3 linked regions of the Caenorhabditis elegans genome follow. The protein of the gene in region 3 interacts with the protein of the main gene of each other region in a pairwise test. Each region holds a gene or a part of one and is shown on either strand. Other genes may lie near its edges. The genes, in order: Y37D8A.8, pak-1 and ptp-3.

Evidence for each region.
Region 1: the proteins of ptp-3 (region 3) and Y37D8A.8 interact in a two-hybrid assay, tested with the Caenorhabditis elegans proteins (one large-scale study listed by BioGRID).
Region 2: the proteins of ptp-3 (region 3) and pak-1 interact in a two-hybrid assay, tested with the Caenorhabditis elegans proteins (one large-scale study listed by BioGRID).

The regions. Positions count from the first base shown.
Region 1 is NC_003281.10:12,863,298-12,868,219, reverse strand, and holds Y37D8A.8 (LITAF domain-containing protein), read right to left. Parts: upstream 3,273-4,922; 5' UTR 3,251-3,272; coding exon 3,137-3,250; intron 1,237-3,136; coding exon 1,201-1,236; intron 1,155-1,200; coding exon 1,089-1,154; intron 903-1,088; coding exon 726-902; 3' UTR 601-725; downstream 1-600.
Region 2 is NC_003284.9:6,043,767-6,050,595, forward strand, and holds pak-1 (Serine/threonine-protein kinase pak-1), read right to left. Parts: upstream 4,839-6,829; 5' UTR 4,833-4,838; coding exon 4,752-4,832; intron 4,593-4,751; coding exon 4,514-4,592; intron 4,466-4,513; coding exon 4,359-4,465; intron 3,811-4,358; coding exon 3,663-3,810; intron 3,615-3,662; coding exon 3,400-3,614; intron 3,356-3,399; coding exon 3,263-3,355; exon of another isoform or gene 3,114-3,262; intron 2,997-3,113; coding exon 2,429-2,996; intron 2,379-2,428; coding exon 2,305-2,378; intron 2,251-2,304; coding exon 2,128-2,250; intron 1,516-2,127; coding exon 1,444-1,515; intron 1,287-1,443; coding exon 1,128-1,286; 3' UTR 543-1,127; downstream 1-542. UniProt on the Caenorhabditis elegans protein: Required for hypodermal cell fusion, together with cdc-42 and ced-10, leading to embryonic body elongation, which involves dramatic cytoskeletal reorganization.
Region 3 is NC_003280.10:10,973,773-10,978,697, reverse strand, and holds the start of ptp-3 (protein-tyrosine-phosphatase), read right to left. Parts: upstream 3,130-4,925; coding exon 2,862-3,129; intron 2,513-2,861; coding exon 2,371-2,512; intron 2,326-2,370; coding exon 2,085-2,325; intron 1,682-2,084; coding exon 1,468-1,681; intron 1,321-1,467; exon of another isoform or gene 1,171-1,320; intron 241-1,170; exon of another isoform or gene 32-240; intron 1-31. UniProt on the Caenorhabditis elegans protein: Has a role in early neural and epidermal development; neuroblast movements during closure of the gastrulation cleft and epidermal morphogenesis. Vab-1 and ptp-3 may function redundantly within the same sets of neuronal precursors.

The sequences.
Region 1 (4,922 bases), on a different chromosome or scaffold from region 3:
AACTGTTCAACTTTTTGGTTCAATCTTTTTACTTTACAAGGACTATCGCACCTAACGCGCTACGCTTTGCAGAAAATTAAGTTGGAAAACTGGGGAAAATTCGGATTGTTTTGAACCAAAATTGACTGAGCCATAGTCATTCGAAGATAATATCATTCCTTGGTTTTTTCTAAGTGTATTCGGGCCTGCGGTCCTCAATCTGGATAGACTGGTCTTTCCAAAAGCATACGTAGTCTCATTGAAGGCCTGCTCTGCTGGTAGTAGGGAAAGAAGTGGCCTAAAGTTTCTAAGAGTAAGAGGGTGGCCCTGATCCCCGATTTTTGGGTCTGAACGAAACACGATAGCATTGCAGGCCACCAGCATGTACTGCTGGATGATGTTAAAAGTGGCCAAAATTCAAAATTTGCCGAGGTCGGCAAATTCGGCGTGCTTAACAAACTCAGGAAAATTTGATGTCTAAAATGAAGAAAAATAGAAATTTTAAAATTTCCAATTATTTAAAAAATCTCGACACGACTGATGAGGTCATGGTGCACCGAACTAGTATTCCCGAGAACAGAACCGCGACGCGACACGCGACGCACAGTAAAACAACAAGTCTGGGACGAGGTGGTTTACCCCGCCAAGAAACCCCGACAAAATATTTATTCCGAACGTTATAAGTGATTGAGTGCAATTTAAACGAGTACACGAATTGGGCTTTCACTTGTTGAGATTCTCAAAAATTATCCTCTCTTTTTACGCGACAGGACCATTCCACAGTTCGGACAATGATGAATTGCGTCACGGATATCAATGCAACAAAGGATGTAGATGAGGAAAAAGGCGACGAAGATAATCAATATGATAATAAGCCAAGCGAAACATCCCATTTCGTATTCGACAACTGTCACAACGGTACACTGAAAAAATTGTTGTTTGAAAATGTGTCTACTTTGAGGGCTTATATCTCGGTTGGCTTGGGTTTTATCAAAAAATTTTTCACTGAGAAAATATAGAGAAATATTTTCTGCATATTTTGTTAGTTAAAATTGTTTAAATAAAACTAAAGACAACCGAGATATAAGCTTGTGAAGTAGAGCACTCACTCTGCATCTTGGACAATATTCCTGGTAGGGTTTGAATGATGGAGCAACTTTCTCGTAATACATGTACTGAAATTAATTATCCATGTTTTGAATTGGTTTATTATCTTTTTACCGGTGTTGCCACGACGACTTGTCCAGCTTCTTTTCTCTGAAAACTCAAGTATAAGGTTTGATCTCCGAGAATTGCGGGAATTTAGAGTATATTCCCGCATTTTTTGTAGATCAAGCCGCAATGGGGCAGCCTGACATTGCAATTCTATAGCCGTAAAAAAAATGCGATTTTCTGAGTGATTTTTGTAAACACACAAAAATTGGCAACCTTTGTGCCTGCCCGGAAGACGACCTAAGCCTTATACAGTGCTGGCCAAAAAGATATCCACTTTTGGTTTTTTGTGTGTAACTTTTTTCTCAAGCATCCATTTGACTTGAATTTTTCCGTGTGCATAAAGCGAAATGTTACGCAAATTTGCGGACCAAACATTACATGATTATCGATTTTTTCTGAATTTTATTTCAATTTTTTGATTTTTTCGTTTTTCCAATTTTCATTATTTTTTTTGAATTATCAATAAAACGCACTCTTTTTGTTGCACTGGATTTGTTTGGTTGATAAATTATTTTTAAGGTATGGTAAAATCTGTTGGGTGTAAAAATCTTTCCTTGGACGTCAAGAAAGCCATTGTAGCTGGCTTCGAACAAGGAATACCCACGAAAATGCTCGCGCTGCAAATTCAACGTTCTCCGTCGACTATTTGGAAAGTAATCAAGAAGTACCAAACTGAGGTGAGTTCGAAAAATATTATTTTTTAATAATAAATGTTTAGAAATCCGTCGCTTTGAGAATCTCGCCCGGCAGGCCTCGAGTGACAACCCATAGGATGGATCGCAACATCCTCCGATCAGCAAGAGAAGATCCGCATAGGACCGCCACGGATATTCAAATGATTATAAGTTCTCCAAATGAACCTGTACCAAGTAAACGAACTGTTCGTCGACGTTTACAGCAAGCAGGACTACACGGACGAAAGCCAGTCAAGAAACCGTTCATCAGTAAGAAAAATCGCATGGCTCGAGTTGCGTGGGCAAAAGCGCATCTTCGTTGGGGACGTCAGGAATGGGCTAAACACATCTGGTCTGACGAAAGCAAGTTCAATTTGTTCGGGAGTGATGGAAATTCCTGGGTACGTCGTCCTGTTGGCTCTAGGTACTCTCCAAAGTATCAATGCCCAACCGTTAAGCATGGAGGTGGGAGCGTCATGGTGTGGGGGTGCTTCACCAGCACTTCCATGGGCCCACTAAGGAGAATCCAAAGCATTATGGATCGTTTTCAATACGAAAACATCTTGGAAACTACAATGCGACCCTGGGCACTTCAAAATGTGGGCCGTGGCTTCGTGTTTCAGCAGGATAACGATCCTAAGCATACTTCTCTTCATGTGCGTTCCTGGTTTCAACGTCGTCGTGTGCATTTGCTCGATTGGCCAAGTCAGTCTCCGGACTTGAATCCAATAGAGCATTTGTGGGAAGAGTTGGAAAGACGTCTTGGAGGTATTCGGGCTTCAAATGCAGATGCCAAATTCAACCAGTTGGAAAACGCTTGGAAAGCTATCCCCATGTCAGTTATTCACAAGCTGATCGACTCGATGCCACGTCGTTGTCAAGCTGTTATTGATGCAAACGGATACGCGACAAAGTATTAAGCATAATTATGTTGTTTTTAAATCCAATTGCTCATATTCCGGTACTTTAATTGTCATTTCCTTGCAACCTCGGTTTTTTCAATATTTCTAGTTTTTCGATTTTTTTGAATTTTTCTGAAGTTTTTTCAAAATCTGTTGAACATTTTTGATGAATATTGTGTTTTTAGATTTTGTGAACACTGTGGTGAAGTTTCAAAACAAAATAACCACTTAGAAAAAAGTTACACACAAAAAACCAAAAGTGGATATCTTTTTGGCCAGCACTGTACCTCATAGTAGGCATAGTAGGCACGTAGTAGGTATGCTTGCCTAAAACCCAGACACATATTCTGAAGAATAGCAATTTACCGAAACAACCAAGTCCCCGGGAGATGCAGTTTTCTTCGATTCCGGAATGACGTCGTCAGTGTCTGCGACAGCTTGTGCGTACGATGGTGGCGGAGATCCATGTTGTGGATCCATTATGGAGAAAAATAGAAGAATGAGAGAAAAACCGTTTGACAGAGCCTTTTATACCGGAAACCTACAAGACGTAGAACAAAATTCCACATGGAGGTAAATGGTGTCACGTTTATTTTTGTTTTTTTTTTGTAAAAAAAAATAATTCTTTCAAATATAAAATTGTAAAATGTTGGCAATCTTTTCTGGAAAGTTGGAAAAAACTTCAGATGGCTGGGTAGTTTTCTAGAAAGCTTGATATTCAACTGGAAAGATTTGGAAATCTCTGGAAAGTTAGAAAAATGTGGAAGATCTCGCGGACGAGAAAACGTGAAAAAATGAGCAAAATGGCCTTCAAAACGGTGGAATAGGAGGATTCCTAGTCCCCCCCGTTCGCGTAGTCCTCTCGGAGAAGAAAATAGCGTGTAAAAGATGAGACGCAGACAACGAGACGGCCTCATTCCTTGTCTTCGCTTGTCCGAGTGAATTTCACCGACAATATTCTCAATGGGGCGCGTTTTCATCGAAATTATACAAAGCCCGGTAGCACAGAAACTAGATGGCTTGGTTCATGATACTCAGTCTGAAAACCTATATTGGCTGCTATCTCGAAAACTAACCCCAAATTTGATTTTGCGATGCATATGGAAAATGACCGCAAAAAAATTCTCTATCTTTTCTATTAAGTAATTTTTTGATTGAAAATTTCCTAACCGGTCAAATTTGTGTTTGTTAGGTAGAGCGCGTTGGCACCCATCTAGCTGCTGTGCCACCGTGAAAGAGACAGCCAGCGAGCACATGCAAAGGGGCTACCAAACATTTTCTTCGGAAAGTTAAATATGGACATTTTGCAAGCTTCTAAATTACTCTAAATACTTCCAGAGTGTGCACAGAAGTGAGCATCTGGTGTCAGTTTATTCCATCTCTCTATAGATCTCTACTGCACACAAAATTTTAACCAAAAAACATATTTTCTTCTTGTAAAATGAAGAAAAATTAATTTCAAATATTCTGAGTTTGCTTCAACTTCTGAAATAAGGATTTTTTGCAAAAAGTACAAAAAAAAGACAATTACTGAGTTTTTGCCACTTTTTTTTGGATTTATTATATTAAAATTCAAACATTGTAGGGATTCGAAAAAAAAACTCACTTCAGTAATTGCCTTTGACTGTCAAAAAAAAATTTTAAGTTTTGTTGGAATTTGAGTTGTTTTCTGAGTTCAAGTTAATTCTGAGCAAAAAAATTAAAAAAAAAAAACTTTCAACACAACTGCCACTCTAATATACGTCTTTTGTGCCAGTTCGGTTTGCCTACTGGACGGCCTACTTCACGCCTACTCACGAACCGCACGTCTACCAACCTGGCAGGGCTATGCGGCTGATGGGAAAAGTCGGCTGTTGGCGTCTAGCACGCTCGATTCCAGGTCGACTGTGCTCACTGAGCATTTTGGAAACATCGCTAATTTTTTTGGAGGGATCTACAGTACAGTCCTCGACCCCTCTACAGTACTCCTACAGTACCACCACTTCCAGAACCCCTACAGTACCTCTACAGTAAACATATATTTTTATTTTTATAAAATTGCACTGAACAATGACGTCACCCTATTTCTTCCCCTTTTTATTTGCTTTTTTGCATCACTCTGTTTTTTGTTCCTCTGCTTCCTTCCCTCCATCACCTTTTGTGATGTTAACAT
Region 2 (6,829 bases), on a different chromosome or scaffold from region 3:
TTTTAGTTTTCAATAAGAAATATGAAAAAAGTGGCATTATAGCACTATGAAACATTTGTAAGCTCCTGAAACTTTCAATCACTATTATGGTGAAAAATATAGTTCCAGAATACTCACAGGGATTATTCACATATTCAACTTGTTATGTGACTTGATTTTTTAAGTTTTGCTAAAATATGTTGTGCGTGTTCTTGAAAACCTTTAAAATTATCAATAATCAGCCTGACAACATTATCAGCCTCTGGAGTAACTTTTGTGTCCTTTAGCACAGTTGCTCTCAACAAAGTTCAGATATACCTAAATTGTGGTGGTGGGAGTTGAGTTGTGCTGCTGCAATTACTAGAATAACTATTTCTAGAATAAAATATATAGTCTAAACATAATCATTCAAATGAACTATTTATCATTTCTAATTTTTGAGGTAAACTACCTTATACCATGTACCTGGTCAGGAATAATAATAAATAATTTTTCAAAAGAAAATAGTACAATTTCCTTGAACAAAATTTGACTATTTTGAAAACTTTTCTGATTCTATAAGTAAATTCATCTCTCTTTTATTAAACATGATCAATTGTTTCAAACGTCATGAGACAAAATTTAAGATTTTGACCTTATGGCCGATTTTTAAATTGGAAACCACATGAAAACAGAGTTTCAATAGTTCCCACCTACAGACACTTGAAAAAGAAATAGGGAAATTTGGGCAAAGCTGGTTAACTGTAGATTTCCGTTCGAACGACACAAATGCAAGAAACCGAATGAAAAGAAGACAAAGTGAAGACAAAAAACTTACATAAATAATTGAAGTGTGTCGTCTGATTGGGAACGCTCAACAACAAGAAAAAAGAGATAGTCCAAATTGTGCATTGCGAGAAGAGATAAAGAGGGGGAAGATGTGAAATAATGAAGGGGCTTGAATTTTTACTCGTGATCGATTCCAGAAAACATTACACAAATTACTAAGGTGTGACTTTTTTGTTGGGAAACGGTAAGTTGGGCTCAAAGTAGATAGTTAGAAATGACTTGAGATGGAGAGAAAAGAAAACAGTTTCAAAGTAAGTACGACTTGAGATTTGAGAAGAACAAGAAATACACGTCGTGTATTGAGAATACAATCATCATAATTATGAGTTGCTAGCTTCGGCGATGCTCTTCTTCGCCGCAACGATTAAGTAGTACAGTGAAGCAAGCGGTTTGGCGCATCGGAGGAATGGATGCGTAAGGAGTTGGCTTGCCGACCATCGATTTTCAACTTGTACTTCCAACGCAGAGTCGACAAAGTCCTGGAAATTGGGACAGAATGGGAGAAATTGATACTGTACTGAAAGTAAAGTAAAACTGCGGTAGCAGTTGAGTCATCTTTTGTACATTTGTGACTAACTGTTAACAAATATTTTTTTTATCAAATCTTCTGTTTCGAAAGTTCTCGAGTTCTCTTACCTTGAACAACAAAGTCATGGAATCTCTTCCAGGGAAGTCGGGTTTGCCATTTGTAGCAATGAGATAGATAGCCTGAAAAAAAATATTTTTAAGATCAATATTGATTGATGAGAAATTTTAAGCTAAAATTATAAAACCTAAGTATAGCTGAAACAACTTTAACTTTAACTTTCTCGTCATTTTACAGCAACTTCTCAACAACGTCTCAATCTTCTCAACTTAAGCGATTTTTCAACAAAGTTTACCCAGCTTTCGGTAGTTCTCAATGCACATCTGTATCTTGCGGTGGGGGTCATCCCTAACTTTTACCAACTTTACCCAACTATTGCAACTTTTGAGATTGGTTGCTAAAGTTAGCTGAGAAGTTACGGAAAAATGTAAAGTTTCTGCTAAATTTTTTCTTAGGCGCCTGTTCAATAACATGACCTCAACCTGAACCAAATTATTTTCTGATCGTTATGGGCAAAACTGGGGTTGCTATTCTTACTAGGGAATAGTGGCCAATTAGATTTTTTTGAAATTCATTAAGCAACAAATTTATCGCTGTAACAACAAATTTCCATTTCTCATTCACACTCTGCGAGCACAAGTGTTATTGAAAGGAATCATATATTCAGATTCATGTTTTTTTTTTCAATTATCAAGCGTTGTCTTCTTAAATTCAAAAAAGCAAATATTTCATACCCTGAGTGGATTTTCATTCAAATATGGCGGTTCTCCTTCGACCATCTCAATCGCCATGATTCCCAAGGACCACACATCAACCTTGGGTCCGTATTGTTTGCGGGTCACCACTTCCGGCGCCATCTGCAATTGTCAAACATTAATTTCCTATTCGCTTTTTCAATTTCCATCACTCACCCAGTATGGAGTTCCGACCATTGTCGTGCGTTTTCTTTGCTCCGGCGAGAGCTGAGCACAGAATCCAAAGTCGGCTGAAATTCACAGAAGTAGGTTGCAAAAGCATTAAAAATTATAATCTTACTCAATTTCACCGAACCATCCATTCCCAAAAGAATATTGTCAGATTTAATATCTCTGTGAATGACGTGGCGGCTGTGGAGGAATTCAAGCGCTTGAAGAACTTCTCTGCAAACAGCTGCAATAATTCCATCCTCCATCTGGCACTCCGTGACAACATCAGTCAATGATCCACCGGCAAGATACTCCATCACTACCCATAATTCATCGCACACCAAATACGAATCCAAATAATTTACAATATTTGCATGCTTATTCTCACGCATCACCAAAATCTCATTAATGATCAATTCCTTCTTTGGTTGATCCTTCAGGTTCATCTGCTTGATAGCCACCTCCGCTTCGGTACTAATTTCAATAGCGGTGTACACAGAACCAGATGCACCTGAGCCGATTTTATCAACTTTTCTATATTTTCGATCTGGATTTCCGATAGACACAATGGTACGGAGCTTAGTCAGCACTTCAGCGTCAGTCATCTTTTTCTTAGCTTTTTGACCTCTGGCCTGTACACCAAATTGTCCTTTTGAAAGGTCTGGAATTTTTTCTTCCTCCTCTTTCGGTTTTGTGTACTGAAAATATACTTATATGTTATAGAGAACTTGGGAAAAATTCGGTACTTGTGTATTACATGCCCTCATTTTGAAATTGAATTAAATTTTCATTCATTTCTCCATATAATTTAAACGTGATATACATTTTTCCTCTCCAGGCTTAGAAAGATTATTTCCTAAACCTAGAAATAAAAAATGTGGTACACGTTTTTATTGTTTTTAACTTAAAAAAATACTCTAAAACTAAGGGCATGTAATACACAAGTACCAAAAATTCTACTCACAATACTCAACGTCCTTGCCGGCCTATCAGGGATAGCGGGAGGAACAATATCAGCAGGAGTTTCACCATGGGGGACCGGTGGCGGTGCATAACTCTGAAGCAATCAATATGAACTTCAAGATTATTCTTCCCACTTACCGGTGGCATACTCGATCTATTCTCATTTACACTAAACGTCGTCGGAGGAACTCCTTGCTTGCTGTTATACCCCGCACTACTTGTACTGGTTGTCATTGGATTCATCTTTCTTGGATCCTGAATTTTATTGCCATGATACGGCAGGGATGATGTGCTATATGGTTGCGGTTTCAGTCCGTATGATGGCGTCCGAGAAGGTGCGTCATCTATAAACACTGTAGAAGAATGAGCTCCATTAGCAAGACTGACTACGGGTTACTTACTCATATCGTACTGCAACCACTTCTGGCCGCTGCTTTCGCCTTGTGTGTAGTATTTGAGCGCGTCCAACACTGCCTGAGGATTCTGTTGCTGCTCTTGTTTTGAGATCTGTGAGTCTGTGAGAAGACGTGCCCATGCTTCAGGCATTCCCTGAAAATTTATATTGTTGATAAGGAGCAAAAGTTTCTGAGAAAAGTTTATAAATAAGATTCTACAGTAGTTTCTCAAGTCTATTCGACAAAACAGACCTCTTCATACTAAAAAAATTGGGACAATTTCATAGGTCTTTAGAAGAAACTATCTTTGGTTGAATACATGTTCGTGATAATTGGCTTCACTTAAATTTTTCTCGTATGGATTTGTTTTCTTAAAACGTCTCAAAAACGCAAGCTTTATTAACACTAACCATGGTTTCAAGAATAACACGTTTTTAGAAGATAATGCACTGAATTAACGGTTGCAAAATATTATTATAAATTGAGATTTGTTTATAATGATTTTTTGACTGAGGGAAAAAGTAAAAGTAGTAGTTTTTAGTTTTTAGCTTACTATTAGCATTCACGTTAATCTGGTACGATTAGCGGTTGCGACCGGTGTCAGAATGACAGCTGTATCACTCGTTCATCATTGGAAAATAATCTTGCAAGTAACGCAAGAGTGGGAAAACTGCTACAAAAACTTTTTGAAAAAATACTGACCGTAAATTCGCCGGTTTTTGGGTCATATCCGACATGAATTGTGTGTTCGAAATTGCTCGGTCGAGAGATCACTGGTTTTTCTGACGCTTCCTTTTTGTCTTTGTTCTCTGAAAAAAACAGGAAAATCAGGAATGGTTACAAGAGCAATATATTACTTTTCATGAACGGGTTAGGCATCGTCTTCTTTTTCTTGGTTGCTTCTGGCTCTTTGGGCAATGGCTTCAATCCGACGACCTGAAAAATTGAGTTAGTCAAGACATGGAGAATGGAAAAAAGAGAAATAGAGATGGGTGGGAGAGGGGCAAGCAACACATGCATCATCTGATTTGGAAGAAGAACCTTCGAAAGATTGTCGCCCATCTTTGGGGAGGAGTGGAGGGACGAGTTAATTACCTGATTCTCCCTCGTTGCCGAGCTGCTGAAACGAATTGGTGGTGCTGGTGGTTTCTCATCATACGATGAGAAAGCTTTCATTTTGGCAAGCCTGGAAAATTGAAACTGTTGGAAAAAGAAGACACAAGCATCAAACCAAAAAAGAATGAAGGAATACAGTATGCAATGTAAAACTGAAAAAGGAAAACAATAATTAGGAGGAATTTTCGTTGTCAAGTGAAATCGAAACTGTTGGAAAAATAGGAAAATTGGAACCAATATTCATGTTTTGTTGAGTCAAAAAAACATAGAAAAACGATCACAATAAAGAATCAGAAAAAGAAAGAACAAATTGCTGACCGCCCCCTTATAAAAAAATTGTTGGACTATGACTAACAAAAGAGGAAATTGATAGGAGCGGGCAGGGAAATGGATGCACAACACATGGTGTAAAGAGGACATTGACCCAGTGCTATGAGTAATCTTGGACCGAAAAAGCATGGCCCTTTCGCCTTTCGAGGTCGTCTATTGGATTGCTTTTCTATATTTTTTTAGTAATCTCAGGGTAGGAGTTATGGAAAATGTGGGACCCAGAATTTGACCTTTTCTTCGGAGTTCTCATTTGCATTATTGCTTCAAAGAGCCTATCTGCAACCAACGTCTGACGTGAGTTTGACCCGAAAAAGATAGATGGCTTTTTGGTTTTCAAAACGAAAGATTTCAAAGTTTAGGAGATGATGGATGGTGAATAAACTGGGCCAGAGGAAGAAGAAGGAATATTTTTCAAAGGAGAAAAAGAAGAGACGGGAATCTTTTTTAAAGTGTGATGATATGAGTCATTCATGTTTCACTTCATTTTATCGCCCACCACCGTGTGTTCGCGTACTTGTTTCCCGCTTGTCATCCAAGTGGCAATCAGCCGGATAATGTTCTAGAAGTGTGAAGCCGAAAAGAGTAGAAACTGTGAAACGAGGTTCGGAGTGAGTGACAATGTTGAGAACTAGTTTAGGAAATTAGAAAGTGAAAGCCGAAAAAAAGCTGAAAAGTTTGCATTCATACTAACGGTGAATGATGATACTTTTGGTCTAATACTATTCTCGATTAAAGGAGGGGTATCGGTTTTGGGTTTTTACTTGTAAGCACTCAAAATGTTCATAAAGGAACAAATTTAATAATGAGACCTCATAAAAATCATAGGGGGTTGATTGTGGCCATTTTCAATTACGTATGGGCTTTAAATGTACATTCATTAACAAAATAATGTAAGAAAATCACCAATATGCAATAAAAACATTCTAATCTTCAAAATAAATTTTCCAACAGCTGAGACATGAAAAAATAGCCAATTTTAATTAAAATTAGGTGTTTTTAAAATTTCAGACCGCCATAAAAAATTGTTGAACATTTTTTGAGAATCCTCATTACATAATCTGTTAATTTGGGAATATTTACAATCTAGACCTGCAAAAACCCAAAGGAAAATCACAAAACCGAAAGAAAAAAAAAAAAGAAAAATGAGAAACAAAATCTAGGTATCTAAGATTTTATTACACTGTCGATAAGAAATCCAATCTCATTTTGCACAATGTAGAAAAAAAACAGTTCGAAACCTGGACTGTTTGCTAGAAATGGAGAATGGCACTGTGTTTGTTGAACGCGCGCCATTTTCTAGTGTTATCAATTGAATGGAGGAAACAGAGAAAGATAACTAGTACGGTGGGTCGCGGATGATGCGGCCAAGGCAATTGATAAAGAGCTGCGGAGGGGCAAAACGGACGGATGAGGGGAGGATGTCGTTGGAGATAAAATCAATCGATAGCGGTCAAATGAAGAAGAACACACACAACCAGACATACGCACACACACATATACACGACAGGAAGGGGTGAAGAGGGAGTAAGAGATGTGAGTAAGAGAGATAGAACAACTTGGACAACCACCTAACATCTCGACCTCTCGACACTTATCATTTGGAGCTTCCTGAAATCTCAGTGAGCAGCAAAACTATTAGTGGGTGTTTCCCTGAATTTTTGAACTGTAGACATCGCTCAATTAGTATGTTTAATTGCAGTACAGACTCATGACGAGACGGTGCAAAT
Region 3 (4,925 bases):
AATCTAGAAATGATAGAGAAAGTCCAAGTAATGATAATGATCAAAAGACAAGACATCTCTCAACACAAAAGACGACAACACCGGGGAAGAAGAATCATCGAAATTTGTGGCCGGGTGTCATAAAAATGAGAAATTGCTGGTCATCGGGTGTCGTCGTATGCCTGCACACATAAAGCACACATGTCGGGAAGGCGCCTAGATGACGACCGACATCTTCCAGATGACCTCCAATTACTAGTGATGGCTCACAGTTTGAGCACAGAAAGATGGAAGCTAAATGCTCGATAGATATCCGGATGGCGGTTTTTGGACGATTTTATTGACATTTGGAATTTATTTTATGATTGCCAGATCTAGAGAGGAGCTTGGAGGGTAAAAAACTATGAAGAGATTTTTTTATTTAAAGGTGTAGCAATCTGTCAAAGAAAAATTTCAACGCAAAATTTTCCAAAATTTACACTTTTGTTTTGAAAGGTTGGCACTTTTCCAAAATTTTGACTAAAAATGCTTAGAAGCTCAAACTATTTCAGAGTGTTGGCAGTGTTGTAGACTCAAACAAAAGTGTTTCAAAATGTATAGAATAATTTTTCGAATTTAAAAATTTGGTTGAAATGGCTGGAATTTGAAATTTTAGAGCTGTATCTTACAAAAAAAAGTCTCTGGAACTTTAAAAATTTAACTCGATTTGAAAATCTACCTCACTATGTATTATTGAGTCAGAAAACGGTTATATTTCCAAAAATAGATCAGAAGCAATGTTTTAGAAAAAATCACCTATTCTAAAGCTCAAAGCTTTAAAAAAATAAGGTCATGCTGAAACAAAAGCATTCCGCTCAAATGAGCACCACCGATATAAATGCTCATCAGGGAAAAATAGAAACTATGAAAAGTTATATTAAAAATACTTCAACTAGCAGGCCTAAAATCTAGAATAAAATTCGCTCACCGAATCAAACATAAATCAGTGAATCACACCTATTCTCATCAATTTCTCTCTGTTTCGCCCTTCCCACTCTATGTCATAAAAATGAAAATCACGAAGAGAACAAGTGACCGAATAAAAGTGACCAAGAGGCGCAGATATCAAGCCACATGCTCAAACAAATGCAAATGTGATCGCAACAAGAAGAGGAGGAGGAATGGACAACCTATTTTAATGCAAATTTGAACAGTTTTTGGCTGGGGCGCCTATTTTAAATTTAGTTAGGATGAGTTGACCCCTCTCGAAGTGCGAAATTTCAATGAATAACTGAACAAGTTAGGCATTCCAGTTTTTCAACAATTGAATTTGGATCATTATGTATTTCTAAAACAACTTAAACTTTTAAAATGCATTAACTGAAAAAATTTTGATTGTGTGTGAGCATATATTTTCAGACATTTTTTGGCACCGTAATTTCTGGTTTAAAATTATATAAAAAATTTTTAAAACATCCCTCCCTCAAAAAATCCCCATCCCAAACTAACCTTTAACATAAAGATTTGCGGCTTTCGAGTGAGCAACTCCTAATGTATTCCTTGCAATGCATTCGTATTTTCCCTGATCTTCTTCTCGAGCATGCTGAATCATCAGGGCTCCAGGGTTTCCGATTGTACTTACAGAGTATCTACCATCTGCACGAATGTCTAGCGGGATCAGGTCACGGAGCCAAAGGACTTTTGCTCGAGGATCTCCTCGGACCTGAAAGAATTTTTTTGAATTTGATTTTGGAATCGTTAACATTTTTAAAGTTTTTTAAAAAAATATTTTTTTATTTGTTTTTTTTAATTTGAAAACAGCCGACATAGTTTTTAGTATTTGGTTTCAGGTATATAGGGTAATTCCAGATGTGCTATGATATTTTGGTGTTGGTAACTTTTGGTATTTGTGCTATTTTTGCTATTTTAATCCCATTTTAACTCCATATTGAATTGTTCTTCTTTCAATTGTTAATTTCTTCAAGTTCATTTTTATTTCCGAAATATCATATTTTTAAAAGTTTTTAGCATTATTATTTGTTGATAAAATTTTAAAATCTTTTCATAATACATACAACGAATTTCCCATCTTAAACGCAACTATTTTAAAATTTCAAAAAACTTACCCGACAAGAGACATAAGCAGTTTTCCCCTGTTCGACCGACTTCAATGATGGATGAAGTTCAATTTGAGGGAACCCAATCGGAACTTTGTCTCGTGGGACAACGGTTAGTGATGCTTCTGCGACAACTGGATTGGCAACTCCATTATCAGCCGAGCAGGACACAACAGTCGCATTGTCATCCAGAGAGACACGTTCGAAACGGAGAGTCGATAAGCCGGTGGCCAAGGATTTTATTGATATTCTGGAAAATTTGTAACAGTTATATATTTCAATGAAGCCTTAATACCGATTATGATCTGTTATGGATTTTCCATTGACTCTCCAAATCACACTAGGCAACGGATTTCCATCTGCTCGACAGAAAAATGAGATTTTCGATTCATCGACGACGGTTGATGAGTCTGGACGGACGACTAGTCGGGCGGGGTCTGAAGATTATAAAAATAGAAACTGTAAATATAGTTCACTTGAATTCTTGCCAACAATACAACTTAGAATTGAATCCTCCGCATAAAACTGCGCTTAAATTTGAAACTGAGCTGGAATCTTAGGGAGTATTACAGCTTTATCCGGGCCTATGTGGTTGCAAAAAAAATGAATCTGAATTATTTTCCTGATTTTTTCCTGATTTTACAAGTGTCTAGGGGTAGTAAAGCTTTTTGAAACATTTTTTTAATAAAAAATGTTTTCCAATTTTTTTCTGAAAAAAAATTCCAAAGGTTTTTCTGTTTTCTCGAAAAACCATTATTTTTCAACCAAACCTGCACTATAACTTACACGCAAGAGCTTGAATATAACTCTGATAAGCTTCAGCATAAAGCTGATTATTTGTAAACTCTTCCTTCCGAACCAACGGAATTCCCCCGTCCTGCACATCCTGATTATCAGGTGGCTCTTCATCATTCCACCCGAAATCCTCATCCTCTTCCCCCAACTTACCGTCCTCTTTTGCCGCGACCAGTACGGTACTTAGCATTAGAAACAGAAGCAGCGACGAGCCTTTTCGGCGTGCCACATTTCGTAAGTGACGCGCTATCCGATTCATACTGTTGTTCTTGTTTCTGAATTGGATCATGATGTTTTTCTGATTAGAGAGATACACCCATTTTTGTTGGAAAATTTTTTAAAGTTTTTTCTTGAATTAAATTAATTTTATTTAATTTTTAATTTTTATTCGCGCTGCTTTCTGATCACAGAAGACTTTGTTGGGTATGAGGATTTAGAGGTGAGGATCTGAAATTTTAAATGAAAATTGTTAAGGGAACAGAAAGAAAAGAGCAGAAGTGACATCAACTACATAATCAAAGTTCAGGAAGCACAAGAGCATGAAACAAAAAGATATGAAAGGCCGATTAAAAAGCCACCACAAAAATTTTCCAAGCGACCTGGAAAGCCGCGCAAATGGGTTGAAGAACAAGAGGAAGAGAGAGAAAAGAAAAAAGTGGTGTGGAGAAGAAGGGGTCCCAGGGATTTATTTGGGAAATGGAAAATGTTGCTTTTATTAATGACCATTGCGCAAGGGCAGGTGAGGGGGTCATTTGGAAGGAGCTGGGGGCTTGGCGCGGGGGCGAGAGATTTGGAGAAAGGAGATGATAAATCTAATTGAGAAATCAAGGGAACACAATTATGAAATAGAGGGGTTTACAAAAATTTTTTCTTTATTCGGAAATAGCTCAGACTTTTATCATTTTGCATAACCTTTTCACAACCATTTTCATGTATATTTTTAGATTTTAAAAATTCAGACAATATATAGCAAGTTGGAGAAGCCTAGTTGAATTGGGATTTTTTCAATTTAATTCCTTATCATAGTTCATGGCCAAAATGTCATATTTTAACACAATTTTTTTTGGTTTTTTTTTTTTGAATTAAGAAAAGTAATACTACGATATTAGTTATTTTAGCACCATATAAATCAAAGTTCAAATTCGAAGTTCTAAAAATGCAAACAAAAAATTTTTTGAATATGTGAATTCTAAGACATTTTTGTAAGCGCTTTGTTTCAAGTCCCGTTAAAATCACCCCTGCCACATTCGCTTCTCTCAAAGCTTAAACTTTGAACAACTCTGCAAGAAAATAGAGAGTGTATAGAAGAAGAAGAGACGCAGAGCAAAAACATGCAAATGGCGGGACAAGACTAATCGAGGAATAAGGGGAGCAAAATGAAACAATTTTACTTCTATTACTATTACTCTTCTAGATGACCCCCATGTAATGAATGAATTCACACCAAGAGGTTGGAGTTGGAAAACTTTGATAGTTTATTTTGAGAAAAGGGGGAGAACTTTCTGTAGAGCAGGTGTTAAATTATAGTTTAATTAGTTTTCAGTGAACAGGTAATGTTCACAATGAGTCAACAGATTAAGGGGGTTTTGATACATCAAAATATGTTTTTAGAGATCAAAATGAGATTTTTTTTTTGAGAAAAATTAGACAAACCAATTTGTGAGTTAGTTCTTGAACATCAGCCGGATTCTGTAAAAGGTTCGGAAAATTTCAACTCAAATTCATCTTGCCACAATCTAGATTCTCTCAAGATCAAGCTCAAGCGTAATTGAGTACAAAATCTATTTTATAGAAAGCTGCATAGAAAGCTGCATTGTATTGGATAATCGAAGTCATTTTGTACTGTAAAATTAGGTTCAATCTGGGCAAACTTTAGCAACACTTGAAAAAAATGGGAAACCTTGACACCTTGAAAACTGGTCTTTAATAAAATGGAAATAATAAGTACCTTAAATACTGATGAGTTCAAGCTAATATCTGAGTTCTGTCGAGTTTTAAGGTTAAAATAACTTTTGAGCACCGTCCGGGCAATTTCAGAGGAGGGCAGCGGCACCG